Macaca fascicularis: one gene and its partners. The protein of the gene in region 1 interacts with the protein of each later gene in a pairwise test. Links are inferred from orthologs where the notes say so. Each region holds a gene or a part of one and is shown on either strand. Other genes may lie near its edges.

Region 1 (5,315 bases):
TGCACATAATCCTCACCGGGCATTCTCTACGTTCTCTACCTTCTGTCCCAGCTCACATGTGTTCCAGCCCAAGAGGACTATGCTGGGCTAATCCTCTTGCCTAGGATGCTTTCTCTCTGCCTAGAATGCTTTCCCAACCCAACCCCAGAATCCTATGAAAGCCCATGAGGTCTTTCTTACCCCCTTTCTTTTTCTAGGTACTTAGCTTATTCTCAGTTACTTATAAATATATTCCCCACTACTGTGAGCTTCTTAGAATCAGAGACCTAGTGAAGGCAGCCACCCTGTTAGAAATCAAGTGTAGGGCAGGGGAAAGAGTGAGAAAACATTAAATGAGGAGCGTAGGAAGGGAATGGTTTGGAGGGATACTTACAAATTCTGTTCCTCCAGAAGCTGTACTTTGTTCTGAAGCTCCATATTCTGGGCTGTGTATTTCAAGACCCTGGGGGAAATAACAAAGATATGGGGATATGGCCTGTGTCCTCCCTTCAAAAACCTAACACTTAAAACTGAGTCCCTCTCCCTTTCATACCTGCTCTCTAAACCCCCAACATACACCTTCTTTTTCCTGCGGCTCTCTTGAGCAGATCTTTTATTTCGAATCTTCCTCCGCACACGTTTCAGAATTTGTTCCTCCATCTGAAAGGAAACAGGGAAAGGGGTATCATTAGAGGGACTCTAGAACAAGAAGTTGAAAGGCAACTGAGATCCATCTCTTTCCAATACAGAAATCCCTTCTACAGCTTCCCTGACCAATAGGCATTCACATTCTTTCTGAATGCCTCCACGGAGCACGTGTTAACCCTAACAAGCCAGACCATTTTAAACTATTAAAAAAAAAAATTGGTCAGGCAATATTCAAGTGACATGGCTCATGCCTGTAATCCCAACACTTTGGGGAGCTAAGGCAGGAGGACCGCTTGAGCCCAGGAGTTTGAGACCAGCCTGAGCAACACAGTGAGACCTTGTCTCTACTAAAAATAAATTAGCCGGGTGTGGTGGCACATGCCTGTGGTCCCTGCTCCTCAGGAGGCTGAGGAAGGACAATCGCTTGAGCCTGAGAGGTCAAAGCTGTAGTGAGCCATGATCTCACCACTATTCTCCAACCTGGGCAGTAAAGCAAGAATCTGTCTTCAAACAAAAACTTCCTTATCCTGAACCAACAGCTGTCTCCTTATAATTTCTATACGTTGGACTTACCTAGTATCTCTGGGGCCAAATAGAATGAACCCTGTTAAGCTATTTTCAGGCATTTGACATTTCCTCAGAGAAAAAAAGTTCAAGAAAAAAACAGCTTAGACAAAAATTTTAACTCATCTTCTTAGGATAGACTGCATCTTCTTAGTATCTGTCAAAGATGTGCTCTAGCCAGTATAAAGGAAAGCAAGATAGTGACTTGTGGAGACAATAACTCTTGCTACAGTTTCCAAATCCCATTAACTTTCCTAGTAGCCACATCGCACTGCTGACTCATCTTGTACTTTGAAGGAATTAAAATTCTTTACTTTTGGAGGCCAAGGTGGGTAGATCACTTGAGCACAGGCGTTCAAGACCAGCCTGGCAACAAGGCAAAACCCCATCTCTACTAAAAACACCAAAAAAAAAATTTGCCGGGCAGGGTGGTGTGCACCTGTAGTCTCAGCTACTCAGGAGGCTGAGGTGGGAGAATCACCTAAGCCCAGAAATTCAAGGCTGCAGTGTGCCATGATCACATCACTGCACTCCAGCCTGTGCAACAGAACAAGACCTTGTCAAAAAAAAAAAAAAAAATTCCTGGAACCTTTCTATTAATGAGCACTGATTTCATCATAGTATCCCAGTACTCTGCTTGTGAAGTTGCCACTGATTGCTTAAAACTGGAAACTAAGGATTTTGCATTTATTCATGTACTGCTTAGTCCAATCGTGTTGAACTCTCTAAACAGTTCTACCATTCAGCAAGAGGTGGATTACTATGAAGCCAATGAAGTGTCAAGGCCCTTCACTTACACAGTCCTTTCCAAGGCCCAATACTAATGTTGCACTGATAATTTTGAGGGTTTTTTTTTGTTTGTTTTTTAACAGAACACCAAAATTTGTGTAAGCCCAACGAAAATGAGGATCTGCCTTGCATCTAGCATATTGGGTACCTGCCTCAACTTCCTATTAGCAATAAATCTGCTAAGTTTCTCACCTCAATCCTTTTTTAAAGTTATTGATATAAAGTTAACAGAATTGGCCTACTTGAGACTTTTAATCCCTTTTCAGCCTTTGCTCAACTAACGAGAGTCTTACCTTAGTGAGAGGAAGTGTCTCAGGCAGAATAAGCCCCTCCTTCTCCAATAGACTCTTCTCCTCATCTGTCAGTACCAGCCTAACAATATCCTAGGGTAACCAGAAAGTGGGCGGCAGTTGCATGGGGATGTCACAGAGGAATGGGGAATCCTGCCCCCACCTGAGGAATGTGAGAGTAATCTTCCTGAAAATCAAGTCAAGTACCTGCTCTGCCAGCTCCTCCATATGCTGTGGAGTCATCTGGGTCCCCTCTTTTCTACAGCTCTCACTCTCTGCAAAAGGGAACGTATGAATAGCCAGGCCCATGAACCCTGTCCTCCCCGCAAACTTATTTCAGACTCACCTAGATCCATAGAGACAGGTTCTCGTGGGAGGGAGTAGGTGTGGTCATGGTGGACAAGGCAGGGGTTGGAGTTGCTGAGAACGTTCAACGACGACGCTGGGGGACTCAGCAGGGAGCTCAGCAAATCATCTACCTCCCAGTCGCTCGGTACCTGCGCAGGGTTCCAGTGAACAGGCCTTGACCTATCACCATCCCCTGACCTCATGGACATCCCACGCTTTCCCCAGTCAGAACCCCAACGCACCTCAGAAAGCGGCAGCTCCCAGTCCAGTGGGGCCCTCACGGACTCATCGGGCGCCGTCCTCAAATCTCCACTTTCCTCTAGCAGGAAGCCCAGTAGGTCTTGGTCACCAGCGTCCAATTCCAGCTCCATTTGGGACAACTACGGAAAGGGTGGGCTACCGGGCCCCAACGTCCGAAGCCCAGACACGAGCCCCAGGCCAGCTGTAGGCCTCGGGCACCTATCCACTGTCCCTCTACGGCCGGGCTTCCCGGCCGGGGGCTTTCCGTAGCCCTCTCCGGACCCGCCTCCCAGGCTCAATTCTCCTCAGCCTCCAACGCAGCGAAAGTGACGCACCCCACCCCGTGGCACTGTGGGACTTGGAGTTCCCTCCAACTGAGAAGAGGCCTGGGTGCCGCGCCACGTCCCAGGGGCTATGCAAATGTAGGGGACGGCCCTGCTGCCGCCTCGCACCCCGAGGGCGGGGGTTCCAGGGCTCCGGCTCCGCCTTCTCCCCCAAGCTAGAAAAAGGAAGAGTTCTGGCCTGAAAGGGAACTCGGGCGTCGTCTTGGCGTTCTCTCCGGATTGCGCCGCACCCTCGCTTCCTGCCAGGGAGGGGCTGCCGGCCTTTGGCGGCCCCCGAGCATCGAGAACGCGGCCAGAGCAGCTTCCTGCCTGCCCCCCGCGACCATAGAGCGCTGCCCCAGGGCGCCGCCCGCGGGTGGGGGACGTTCCCAGGACGGAAGTGGCCGAGAGAGTGTCGAAGGGAGGGCGAGGCCGGAGCCCGAGGGCGACCCGAGAAGCGGCAGGGCAGCGGGCCGGCGGGCCGGCAGGCGGGGCGCAGAGCCGGGCAGCGCAGGTAGGCCAGACCGGGCCGGGCGGGGGCCTTAGGGTGGGGCCGCGGAGCCTGGCCCCGGGGGCGGGCGGGGCCCTGCCTCTCCTGCGTGTCCGGTTCGGGTTCTGTTAGTTGGAGAGGTCAGCGTCCAGCGCATCTCAACTTGGGCTCATCGTGAAGTAGGCCGTCTTAGGGGAGACAGGCCTCTCCTGGGGGCAGTCCTCTGCCTGGGATAGGCTTTGGGGAGCGTGAGGAGTCGGGTGGCAGCGGGGCGCAGGACGGGGACGGGCTTTGGTGTTAGCTGATAGCGGCCATGTGGGTAGGAAAGCTTTGGGTGAGTTGGGGATTAGGTGGGGTCCGTTTAGGAATCAAGGGTCGCTATAGGAGTTAAAAGCTGGGGTTAAAACTTAAGAGTTAGTAGTGTGAGTCAGGTCCGTTTTAGGTAGGTAAGGTTTAGATTAAGGTCATTATTTTGTTTGCTGGGATGGCCATCATACGTCATAATTTGAGTTCAGGGTCGGGTTAAGGGTCAACAACAGGAATCAGGTTAGAGCCTGTTTGAGGGATTAAAGAATGTTGACATGGTCGGTATTAAGGATAAACAGTGAAAGTGTGAGTTAGGAATCAAGTTACAAATGAACTTTAGGCTTAGGGGTCAACATTTAGGGTTAACATCAGGCGATTTGGTGCTAAAGGTAAAACTTAGATCAGTATCAGGGATCAGGGATTGGATATGAGTCTCTGCTGGGAAAGGGATGAATGTCCAAGCCGGTAGTGGGAATCAGGAAACAAATTAGAGGTGGGGTTAATGTTAGGAATTTGGGGCAACTTTAGGGGTTGTAATTGAGGCTAGCATAGTTGGCCTTGAGCAGATGAAATTTAAGAGGTTGGCAGTAGGTAAATGCCCTTCTTTTGTAGGGAAGTCCTTTATTCCTGTGTAGTTACAGGGGCTTCTTTTCACCCAGAGAGATAACAAACTAATTTCAGGCTAGTGTTCTGGCTTATTGCAGGCATCTGGGATTCCAGCATCTTTATTCCATTCTCTAAGCCTAAGGCCCTTGCTGTGGCCACCACAGTTAGGGGACAGAGATTCTGGACTATGTTGTTTACATACAACATAGGTGGGAAATAGGGACCCAGGATGTACAAGGCCTAGTCACAAGTTGGAGACTGCCTAGGGAAGAAGGAGCTGTTGACTATGGGGGAAGCTGACCAAGGAATCACTGTTGCCACGGGAGAAGGGAATAACTGAATCCCCTGAAAGTTTAGCTTTGCTGTCTCCCACTTCACTTGTTCTCTAGGTATTAAGGCCTCCTCTCCAACTCTCATCCCTGACTCTGCATTTCACATCCATCCTGACTATCCCCTTACAAAATACTTCCCTTGCCTTTAACTGTCCCATGCTCATCTTATCATCCGTTCCCATCCTCAGTTCTACCTCCCTCACCAACCCTTAATCCGCACATCCTACCTGAATTTAGCCTCATCATAACCTGAGCTTTCCCATCATTTTAAATTACTCTCCTACCATTTTCACCCAGTCATGTACCTACATTCCACCTGGTCATCAGCTGAATACCCTACTCCCAGCCCCTGCTGTGTGCCACCCCCTAGATCTAAGCCTCTTTTAATTTCTTGGACCAT
Region 2 (4,635 bases), on another chromosome or scaffold:
ATGCCGAGTCTGCAGTGCAAGCAGGAAGCAAGTGAGGCCGACAAGGGCCAAGTGCCTGACACAAGCCCATGCAGCAGCCGGGTTCCAAAGACGCTTGGAATTCAGAGGCGGAATGTGGTGTAAGGGCAGGAATGTGGGCTTCACATCTGGAATCCAATCCTGGCTCACCTAAGGAAGCAAGGCAGTGCGCTCCAGCTCCCCCATCTGTACAGTGGGAATCTGTATACACCGCCTTTCCTGGTTTGTCGTGAGGACTTAGAAGGCATATGTAAAGTGTTGGGCACTATTATGGATCGGTTGAGTTGTGTCCTCTCAAAATTCCAGTGTTGAAGCCCTAACCTCCAATACCTCAGAATTTGAGCTTATTTGGAGATAGAGTCATTGGAGAGGTACTTTGTCAAGATGAGGTCATAGGGAGTACAGTGAGCTGCTAATCCAATGTGACCTGTATCCTTATAAAAGGGAATGCTCGTGTGTCCTTATGAAAAACACATGGGACTGGACACGGTGGCTCACGCCTGTAATCCCAGCACTTTGGGAGGCTGAGGCAGGCAGATCATGAGGACAGGAGATTGAGACCATCCTGGCTAACATGGTGAAACCCCATCTCTACTAAAAATACAAAAAATTAGCTGGGTGTAGTGGCGCACACCTGTAGTCCCAGCTATTGGGAGGCTGAGGCAGGGGTCACTTGAACCCTCCGGGAGGCGGAGGTTGCAGTGAGCTGAGATCGCGCCACTGCACTCCAGCCTGGGCGACAGAGCGAGACTCCATCTCAAAAAAGAAAACAAAAAAAGAACACCATGAAGCCTCAGACATGCACAGGGAGAACGCCACGTGACCACGAAGGGGCCATGCATCAACAAGCCCAGGGACCACGACTGCCAGCAAACCACAAAGATAGAGGAGGAGCCTGGAACAAATGCTCCAAAAGGCCCCAGGGGGAACCAGTCCTGCCAATGCCTTGATCTTGGACTTCTGGCCTCCAGAACAGTGAGAGGCACATTAACGGAAGCCACATCTAGCTGGCACACGTCTCTAAGTTAGGGTCAGGACAATGATGAGCATGGAGAAGTATACTGTGCATGTGGCCAAATGCTGTTCACTGGGAATGATTAAGAATAATAGAACAATAAAGAGGTAGTTCCCAAAATTTCATTTTGCTAATAGTTTTTCAAGACTATAATTCTTTTATTAAGGAAATGCAACAAACTTTTGATTACTGACATATTAGAGCTAACATTTAGAATCCATTTTGCAGCTACCAAATACCCTGGATGCTCTTATAGTACTTGAACACAAAATTCTATTATCTCAAATTGGAAGCTAGTTAGTAGGTCAACTGATCTATTGAATTCTAAGCAGATCTCCTCATTCCCATTTATTTGTCTTACTTGGAATTTTAACTTCATTCTTTAGCTTTATTTCATTTGTTTCTCTTTAACACTTGCAGGACCAAGGTATACTTTATTAAGTTAACAAGGAGGTTTTTTTAAATATTTGCTTGTTTTTTAAACAGAAGTATAAAATATTCTTATGGGATGGTTTAAATATATTTTGTACCACAGGGGCTGGAGAATGGATTAACTATTAACGGACATACTTTTTCCTATATATAAAACCTACACACACGGCACAGTCTGGGGAACCCCCAATGCCCTCCTTCTTACCTCAGTCAGCTCCCAGGTAATACTGATTGTCCAGCAGAGACCGTAACTACGGATCAGCAAGGCCTTCATGGCCCAGCCCCAGAAATGTCCAAATGCAAATATATCAAAGTGGCTGATAATCCTCTCCCAGGTGATCACATGGCAGTTCACAGCATACTCCTATTTTAAAAAGTGAATAATTAGTGAAACTCTAGAAATCAACTTGCTTCTAGGATTCCACCGGTAAATGAAGAGAACAGATATGACCTTGACAACTAATAAGTCCTGCTCAGTAAAAAAAAGAGAAAGTTTTAATAACTTAAGGGTCTTGAGGGAAAATGGACAAGTATTTGAGTTTATAAATCAAAACTGCTTTGCTGTGAATTGCAAAAGCTGCATTAAAATGAGAAGCAAAATAATTTTACAAAGGCTCAACATATCCTAAAGAGGTGGTATGACATAGATCATGTCATCTGACCACAGGGCAACAATATTAAAGCCAGTAACTAAAGCACAAATACAAGATTCCCAATAGATTTGGAAATTTAAACACACATTTCTAAATATCATGGATTAAAGAAGAAATCATAATATAATTTTTTAATGTGCCATAATGATAATGAAAATATACCATGTAAAAATTGAACTTTAGAGGAAAATGTAAAGCCTTAAATAGTTACGCTAGAAAAAAGAAGAAAAGCACCCAACTTCAGTAATTAAAAGAACAGAGAACTCCCCTCCCCCAAAATATATCAGATACTACATAATTTAAATATTAAAAATTACAAAGCTTTTAAGAATTTTGGTTCCATTTCTAGTATCTTTGTTTTTGATTATACATATTTCTAAGTAATTTAATATCTTATCATATGACTGCATGACAATATGATAACATTTATCGGGAATCTCTACATTTCACATCCTTTCTTCCCAAAATTAATTTGATAGGCAGTAGTAAGAGTTGGCAAATATTCACCCCCTATTATCAGCCAGCTGAAAAAAATTCCTATAAACTATAATAGTTTTAAATTCCAGAAATACTTCCTGAGAGCAAAAGAGCTTCCCTGTCTCTTCTGAAACCCACCACACATCAGATTTCCTTCTCAGATAAAATGCGTTTCAACTTGCAAAGCTGAACAAACATTTTTAAGAATTCTATTTTTTGAGCACTAGTATGATGTGAGATTATGCTGTGTAAATGGGAAATCTGGAGAAAGGAGGATAAAATTCAATACGGATGAGTCAAGATAAGGCTTAAAAAAAAAAAACAAACTGCCCTGCAATAAGATGAAGTCTCTTCCCGGACTCTGGAACAGCACCTTCTTGTCACAGAGAATCGCAGGCTGACAGAGGGAAATGCCCTTAGGCTGAAGCAGGTTATATATTAGGTTAAGGAGCACGGCCACGTCCCATCAACTCAAATGTCTCAACCACCCCACCCTCTTCTTTACTCTGGAATACACTGTGTAGAGTTAGATAAGGAAGGGATAAGATCTGTTTTTAGAAGGCTACTCTTAAAGTAATCACAGCTTGCAGATAACTCTGGAGGCCTTTATACTCTATTAAGTATTTCTACGCTTTGACATGTGGGAAGGCACTTTAAAAATCATAAAGACCAATCCATCTATTTGCAGTATAGTTAGTAATGAACAGATTTACCAGTTACCCCTTCATAAGACTTGAGGTCCTGGTCCCGGAAGGGCCACAGGGCACTGCCGTTTAAAGCAGCCAGAGAGCTGCGTGCAGGCAGAACCCTGGGAACCAGGAGGCACAGGCTTTAACCGAAGACAGCGGAGAGCTGAAGCCTGGAAAGGGGGTCAAGTGGACAATGTCTGTGAGCAAAATATGGGTAAAGACAGATTCTGCTGACTCCCAACTGCTCCTAGGCTGATCTTGGCAACCCTACCCTCTGCCTCGCTTGCTGGACACCTAACCAAATACCAAGTCCTATTCATTTTACCTCCCCAGGTTGTTCTTTTATCCATCTCACTGCCACTATTATTTCTTGCTTAGACTTCCGTAATAACAGCTTTCGAAAACTGTGGAATGTGTCAGGCATATAACAAAGTATAGACGATGCTATAATAAGCACCTGGGCATTCACATCCAGCTTCAGACTACAGAGAGATCTTGAAAATCATCATCAGATCATGGAATGTGCATGCATGTGTGTAAAGGTGTCTGGGGCAGGAGGGCGGGGAGAAAGGGGTTGGGTAGCATGCCCGTCCCAGTGCAGAAGGATCTCCACTACTGCACACACCGGGTCTCCAGCCCAACTATCTGTTCACTCCTCTCTGGGGCAGTTGCTGACTTTGGAAGAAGAAAGAGATCCAACCTCTTTTGGGTCCTCTTTGGAAATTACCTGCCTACAGACAGCACAGGTTCTCATCAGCTCCCCCAGCCATGCAGCAACTTTTATGGGTCAGGCCCTGCTTTGTAGAAGAAGCTTGTGGTTGTCTAATGGGCGAGGGGAAGACAGGCTTGCTTAATTCAGCCCAGGTCTAAAGCTATCTGCTCCACTGAGCTTTTACAGGAAGAAATCAGCTGAGATTTTGAACTCTTGTTTCTGTTTCCAAACTCCACTAGAAATGGAGGTATTATTGATTGACCTCCTAAAACATCAACACAGGTCATGTAGCTCCTCTGCTTATAAACCTTCCATGGCCTTTTCGTACATTTAGAATAACCCAAACTCCTCATCCCAGCTGGCTCAGCCCTGGCCGCCTCCTTAGCCTCAGGCAGGGCCCTCTGCCTTTTGATCCCTACACTCCTTCTGTACCAGACTGGTCCCAGCTCCCCACACCCCCAATCAGGGCCTCTGCACAGGCTGTCCCCTTTGTAACGATTGTGCTTCCTTGAATCTATGACATGCCTTTTTCACACTGTATTGTTTTGAGAATTAGGGTGACTATTTCAATATATTACAATGTGTAGCACTTTCAACGTAAGGTTTCTTTTTCTTTTTTTTTTTGAGACAGAGTCTCAC
Region 3 (4,635 bases), on another chromosome or scaffold:
CAGTAGCCCTCAAAACATCTTCTTATAAACACTAACACTGGGAAGTCAGTGGGAGATGGGCCACTTGAGAGAAAATGACCAGAGAGGCTAAAAGAGAAGCAGATATCAGTATCCCAGAATTCAAAGGAGGAGAGAATATCACGAAGAATGAGGCAATCCATCTGTCAAATGCTGCTGTGAAGTTAAAGAACATTATGTGTGAACCTTGTTCTCTGCGTTTACCAGCCAAGTGGCCACTGATGACCTTGCAAGAATAGGATCAGTGAACAGGGGGGAAAAAGGCCAGATACTGTGAGTTCAGGAGTATATGGGAACCAGGAAAGTGGATAGAGTATAGATTACTCTATCCAGTAGCCTAACCAGGATGGAAGAAGAGATGGATCAGCAGCAAAGACTCAAAAGAGTCTCAGATACTGAGGGAGGCAAGTGTAAGATGAGCAAGAATAGAGCCTATATGTGAGCTCAAGGGTAGAACCCGGAGAGGTGGAGACAGAATGTATAGGAGCAGAGACTGTAACTAAGAAGACTCAGGACAGGGGGACACTAAGCCCAGATCAGTCTTAGATGAAAAGACATTGGAGGGTGGGAGACAGGAAGCAGGTCTGAATGCAGATCTGTGCGGTGCTCTGGAGACAGAGGCAGAGGGGGTTCCTGAGCAGCAACTCTGGCTTTCTCTGAGACACGAGAGGAGAGGGCCTTGGCTAATACATGGAAGGAGGTGGCAGGGCAGTGGCTGAGGGAGAAACCTGTCATGGGAGAGGGAGTCCAACACAAAATGGTGAGCGAAGAGGTACACCAGAGGTGCACCTGAGGGTAGAGGCCACAAGTCGGTGGTGGCTGCAACCTGTCCTGCCACTAAAGAGACACATGCAGGACAGGCAACGCCTGGAGTGGTGAGTTACCTGGAAGTTCCCCTCTGGAAATTGTGTCTGGGTCCAGCCTGTATGTGTCCTGAAGTCTCATCAGGGCTTTGGCAGCTCCTATCTCATCCTCATCAGTGGGGAAGAACTGCCGCTGCACAGAGAGGTTGGCGATAAAACCTTCCAAATGAGAGTCAGAACAAGAGATTACCCTTGATCCAGGGGCAGAATTCCACTTGGGACCAGAGAGGCAGCCACAGAGAGGGTCTCTGGCTAGTGAAATTTCCCCGCCCCTTCCCTCAAAGGCTGTTGCCCCTTCCACCAGGAAGTTGTCCCTGATCTAGTCTATGGGGACTTTTCCTTTCTTAGTCCTCACTGTACCTACTGCCCGTGCTGCTCTTTGGAACTAAGTAGAAACAGCCCCCCATATTAGTTAATATTTAGGAGTCTAGAAGTCTTGGCTCCAAAGCATTCAGTCAGAGCTGGTGGAGACAGAAGTAACAGAGGATAGAGAGGGTAACTGAGAAGAGCACAGGAGAGGACTCAGGGAAGAACTGTCAACCACTCAGTGGAAAATGAATCCCATCAAAAACCTTGATCCAGGGTAATTGGGCCAGTCAGGTAAACACAGACTTCCAGCCCACATTTCAAGTTGAGGAGTCCAAGGGACAATGACAGTTAACTAATGAAGCCGAGCTGGCCACTCATTACTGACCACTGGCACTTATCATCCAGAAAGGTGATGATGAAAGTCCTGGAGGTCATCCCCCTCCCCCTAGGTTGACAGCTGAGGGACCACCTAGACAGGCCAAGGACCAAGGTGGGGCTGCACCAGCCCAGCAAGGTCAGTCCCTTGAGAGACCATGGTGGGCCTATTCTCCTCTGTACTCCCACCACTCAGACCTGCAATGAGTTCAGGGCATGGGCTCTCCAGTTATGGTGCTCAAGACCACAGCCTGAAGCCTGGGAGAGCTTTTGACCACAGAAGTACTCCAAGGAGGCTTTTCTGGGACTCCAAGCCCTAGCTGTAAAGTAAGATGTGTACCTCCCACAATCCCAGGGCTCCAGGTGGGAGCCAAGCCTTCCCAGGGTGACTTAGGGCCTTCAATTCTGCCTCTAAGCTGAGAAATGAGAGGGGAACAAGGCCATTCCTTCCCCAACTTCTCCCCAAGAGCAGCTATATCCACTGCCACCTATGACTTCAGACCTAAACATCCACTTCCAGCTATAACTGGGGACAGGGACCAAGAAGCTGTAACCCTGCCTTCCTTGTCTTCATAGCTACATGGTCAGGGACTCTAAAGAGTTTAGAATCTGGTGGGGTGGGGGTAGGGGAACATGCTGCCAGGAAAAGCCACACTGTCAGCATGCCCCATTCATTTCAGGGGCAAGAACTCAAAAGTCAGAGATGAAAACAACCAATTATTCTCTGGGCCTGACCTAACTCCTTCTAGGTAATCATAAGGTTTTCCAAAGGAACCAGATGATGGTGTGAGTGTAGGGTGTGGAGAACAAGATTGGAGAGGGGAGGTCATCTGGGTAGGCTTAGTCTCCTGCCGTGCAGGCAGAACAGCCTGTCCCAAGCTGCAGGCCCAGGCGGAGAGGCGGGAGTCTGGGAAAGGCAGACGTGGTTTCTGGAGGCAGTGAGCTCACTGGGCACAGCTCCAGCCTGGCTGAGCTCACCAATCCCTCTCCAGAGGCCACCCTGCCCCCAAGCCCAACCCAGTCTGGCCACATGGGCTAAAATGTCTCAGCCAGAGAGACAGCTAGTCTGAAGTTAATCACTACTCACAACTCAGGGAAAAGAGGCAGTGAAGAGCTGGGTACAGTGGCTCTGTGCCTATAGTCCCAGCTACTCAAGAGGCTGAGGCAGGAGGATCACGTGAGGCCAGGAGTTCAAGGCTGCAGTGTGCTACGATCGCATCTGTGAATAGCCACTGCACTCCAGTCTGAGCTAATACAGTGAGACTCTGTCCCTTTTAAAAAAAAAAAAAAAAAAAAGGCAGCTGGGCATGGTGTCTCACGCCTGTAATCCTAGCACTTTGGGAGGCTGAGATGGGTGGATCACGAGGTCAAGAGATCGAGAACATCCTGGCCAACTCATGGTGAAACCCTGTCTGTACTAAAAATACCAAAAAAAAATTAGCTGGGCTTGGTGGCACGTGCCTGTAGTCCCAGCTACTCAGGAGGCTGAGGCAGGAGAATTGCTTGAACCCGGAGGCGGAGGTTGCAGTGAGCCGAGATTACGCCACTGCACTCCAACCTGGTGACAGAGTGAGACTCTGTCTCAAAAAAAAAAAAAAAAAAGGCAGTGAGTCCAGAGGACTAAACCCAGGGCTAGGAGTTAGGAGAGCCCACCTCCAGGCCCACCCTACCATCTCTTCTTATTGACAGGAAAGTATTAGGGCATAAAAAGTATTATCACAACAAAAGCATCAAGTATAGTTTAAAGCTTTGAAAAAGTTCACAATCTGACCTATAAATATGACTTCTAAGAATTTACCCTTAAAAAAAATCAGAAGTATACACCAAGAAATATGTAAAAAGGTGCTGATAATTCAAAAAAAAATCCCATATCCAATTACTTGATCCATTTGACAGTATTATGACAGATTATCACCATCTGATAGGTAATCACTATCCAGACATTAAAACCACGTTGCAGAGGAACACTGAATAGCATATAAAGAAGCTCACCTGGCCAACATGGTGAAATTCAGAAAGAATTTTTTCTTCTGTCACAAATCTACCATCAGATACACTTTGTTTGTAAAAGATATGAATAGGAATGAATTTAGATGAGACCTATGCTCCCCAACTTGCCCTGGTCCCACCATCCAGCCCACTTGACACTTGTAAATTCATTTGTCCCTTCAAGCAACTGAGTTTGCATGCCCTGGTATGTATGTATAGTTCCATTTTTTTAATGTATATGCATAGGTAGAAAAACTATAATTTTAATAATGCTCACCACTGGGCAATTGGATTAAGAATTATAATTCTCTTGTTTTTGTGTTTTCCAACTTTTCTATAAACATGTATCACTAAAGTATAATCGGAAAAATGTCATTAGCAAAAAATAAGAAAAGACAGACACTAAAAAAAGGACGCTAAAAAAAGAACTAACCATCATTAGACGTTAAAAACCAAGGACAGCCAACTTCCAGGTCCCCACAGAGAAGGGAGAGAGCCATGAGACCAGCAGGGTCCTGTTTGTATAATGCACTTGCCCACCAACACCCAGACCCAAGACAGGCTCAGACACAACAGCCCAGGCATGAGCACACGAACATATGGGCTCACTCAAGCACCTGCTCACCATCCCTCACCTGCAGCTGAGTCCTGCAGGACAAGGTCCTCTAGCGCAGGCCAGTCTGTGTTTAGCCGCTTCACCAGTTTGTAGGCATTCACAGGGTGGGCCAGGTAGCCCTCAGCGTCAGCAGCTGACTTGCTAGTCAAGGCTTCCATTTTGTTGGCCCAGCTGTGGAACCAGAGGAAAAGGAAGAGTAATGCGTCCACCCACATAGGTCTTGACCTGTGATAATTTCTCTGGTGAGAATTCCCTGGTGCCAGGTGCTAGGGCCCTTCTCATCAAGAGGCAATGAAAAATGAATACAGTAACTCCCCACAGATACTTCTAGCCCCTTAATCTAGATAAGAGCTGGGACCCCCAATTTAAGGGAAAAGGTCTTAAATACAAAATAAACGGTGACTCCTTAGCCCATGCACTTAGCTCCTCTCAAGGACTGACATGAAGTAACCAGGCCAGCCCCAC

What was found.
Region 2: the proteins of CREB3 (region 1) and PTDSS1 interact in a two-hybrid assay, tested with the Homo sapiens proteins (2 studies listed by BioGRID and IntAct). The two-hybrid records come from large-scale screens. The link is inferred for Macaca fascicularis from reciprocal best matches to the Homo sapiens genes CREB3 and PTDSS1.
Region 3: the proteins of CREB3 (region 1) and P4HA2 interact in a two-hybrid assay, tested with the Homo sapiens proteins (2 studies listed by BioGRID and IntAct). The two-hybrid records come from large-scale screens. The link is inferred for Macaca fascicularis from reciprocal best matches to the Homo sapiens genes CREB3 and P4HA2.

Annotation. Positions count from the first base shown.
Region 1 is NC_088389.1:63,664,865-63,670,179, forward strand, and holds the start of CREB3 (cyclic AMP-responsive element-binding protein 3), read right to left. Parts: upstream 3,190-5,315; 5' UTR 2,990-3,189; coding exon 2,861-2,989; intron 2,768-2,860; coding exon 2,617-2,767; intron 2,546-2,616; coding exon 2,478-2,545; intron 2,364-2,477; coding exon 2,274-2,363; intron 640-2,273; coding exon 533-639; intron 443-532; coding exon 374-442; intron 1-373. UniProt on the Homo sapiens protein: Endoplasmic reticulum (ER)-bound sequence-specific transcription factor that directly binds DNA and activates transcription. Plays a role in the unfolded protein response (UPR), promoting cell survival versus ER stress-induced apoptotic cell death.
Region 2 is NC_088382.1:105,966,337-105,970,971, reverse strand, and holds part of PTDSS1 (phosphatidylserine synthase 1), read right to left. Parts: intron 1,830-4,635; coding exon 1,671-1,829; intron 1-1,670. UniProt on the Homo sapiens protein: Catalyzes a base-exchange reaction in which the polar head group of phosphatidylethanolamine (PE) or phosphatidylcholine (PC) is replaced by L-serine. Catalyzes mainly the conversion of phosphatidylcholine.
Region 3 is NC_088380.1:138,743,126-138,747,760, forward strand, and holds part of P4HA2 (prolyl 4-hydroxylase subunit alpha-2), read right to left. Parts: intron 4,342-4,635; coding exon 4,190-4,341; intron 1,041-4,189; coding exon 903-1,040; intron 1-902. UniProt on the Homo sapiens protein: Catalyzes the post-translational formation of 4-hydroxyproline in -Xaa-Pro-Gly- sequences in collagens and other proteins.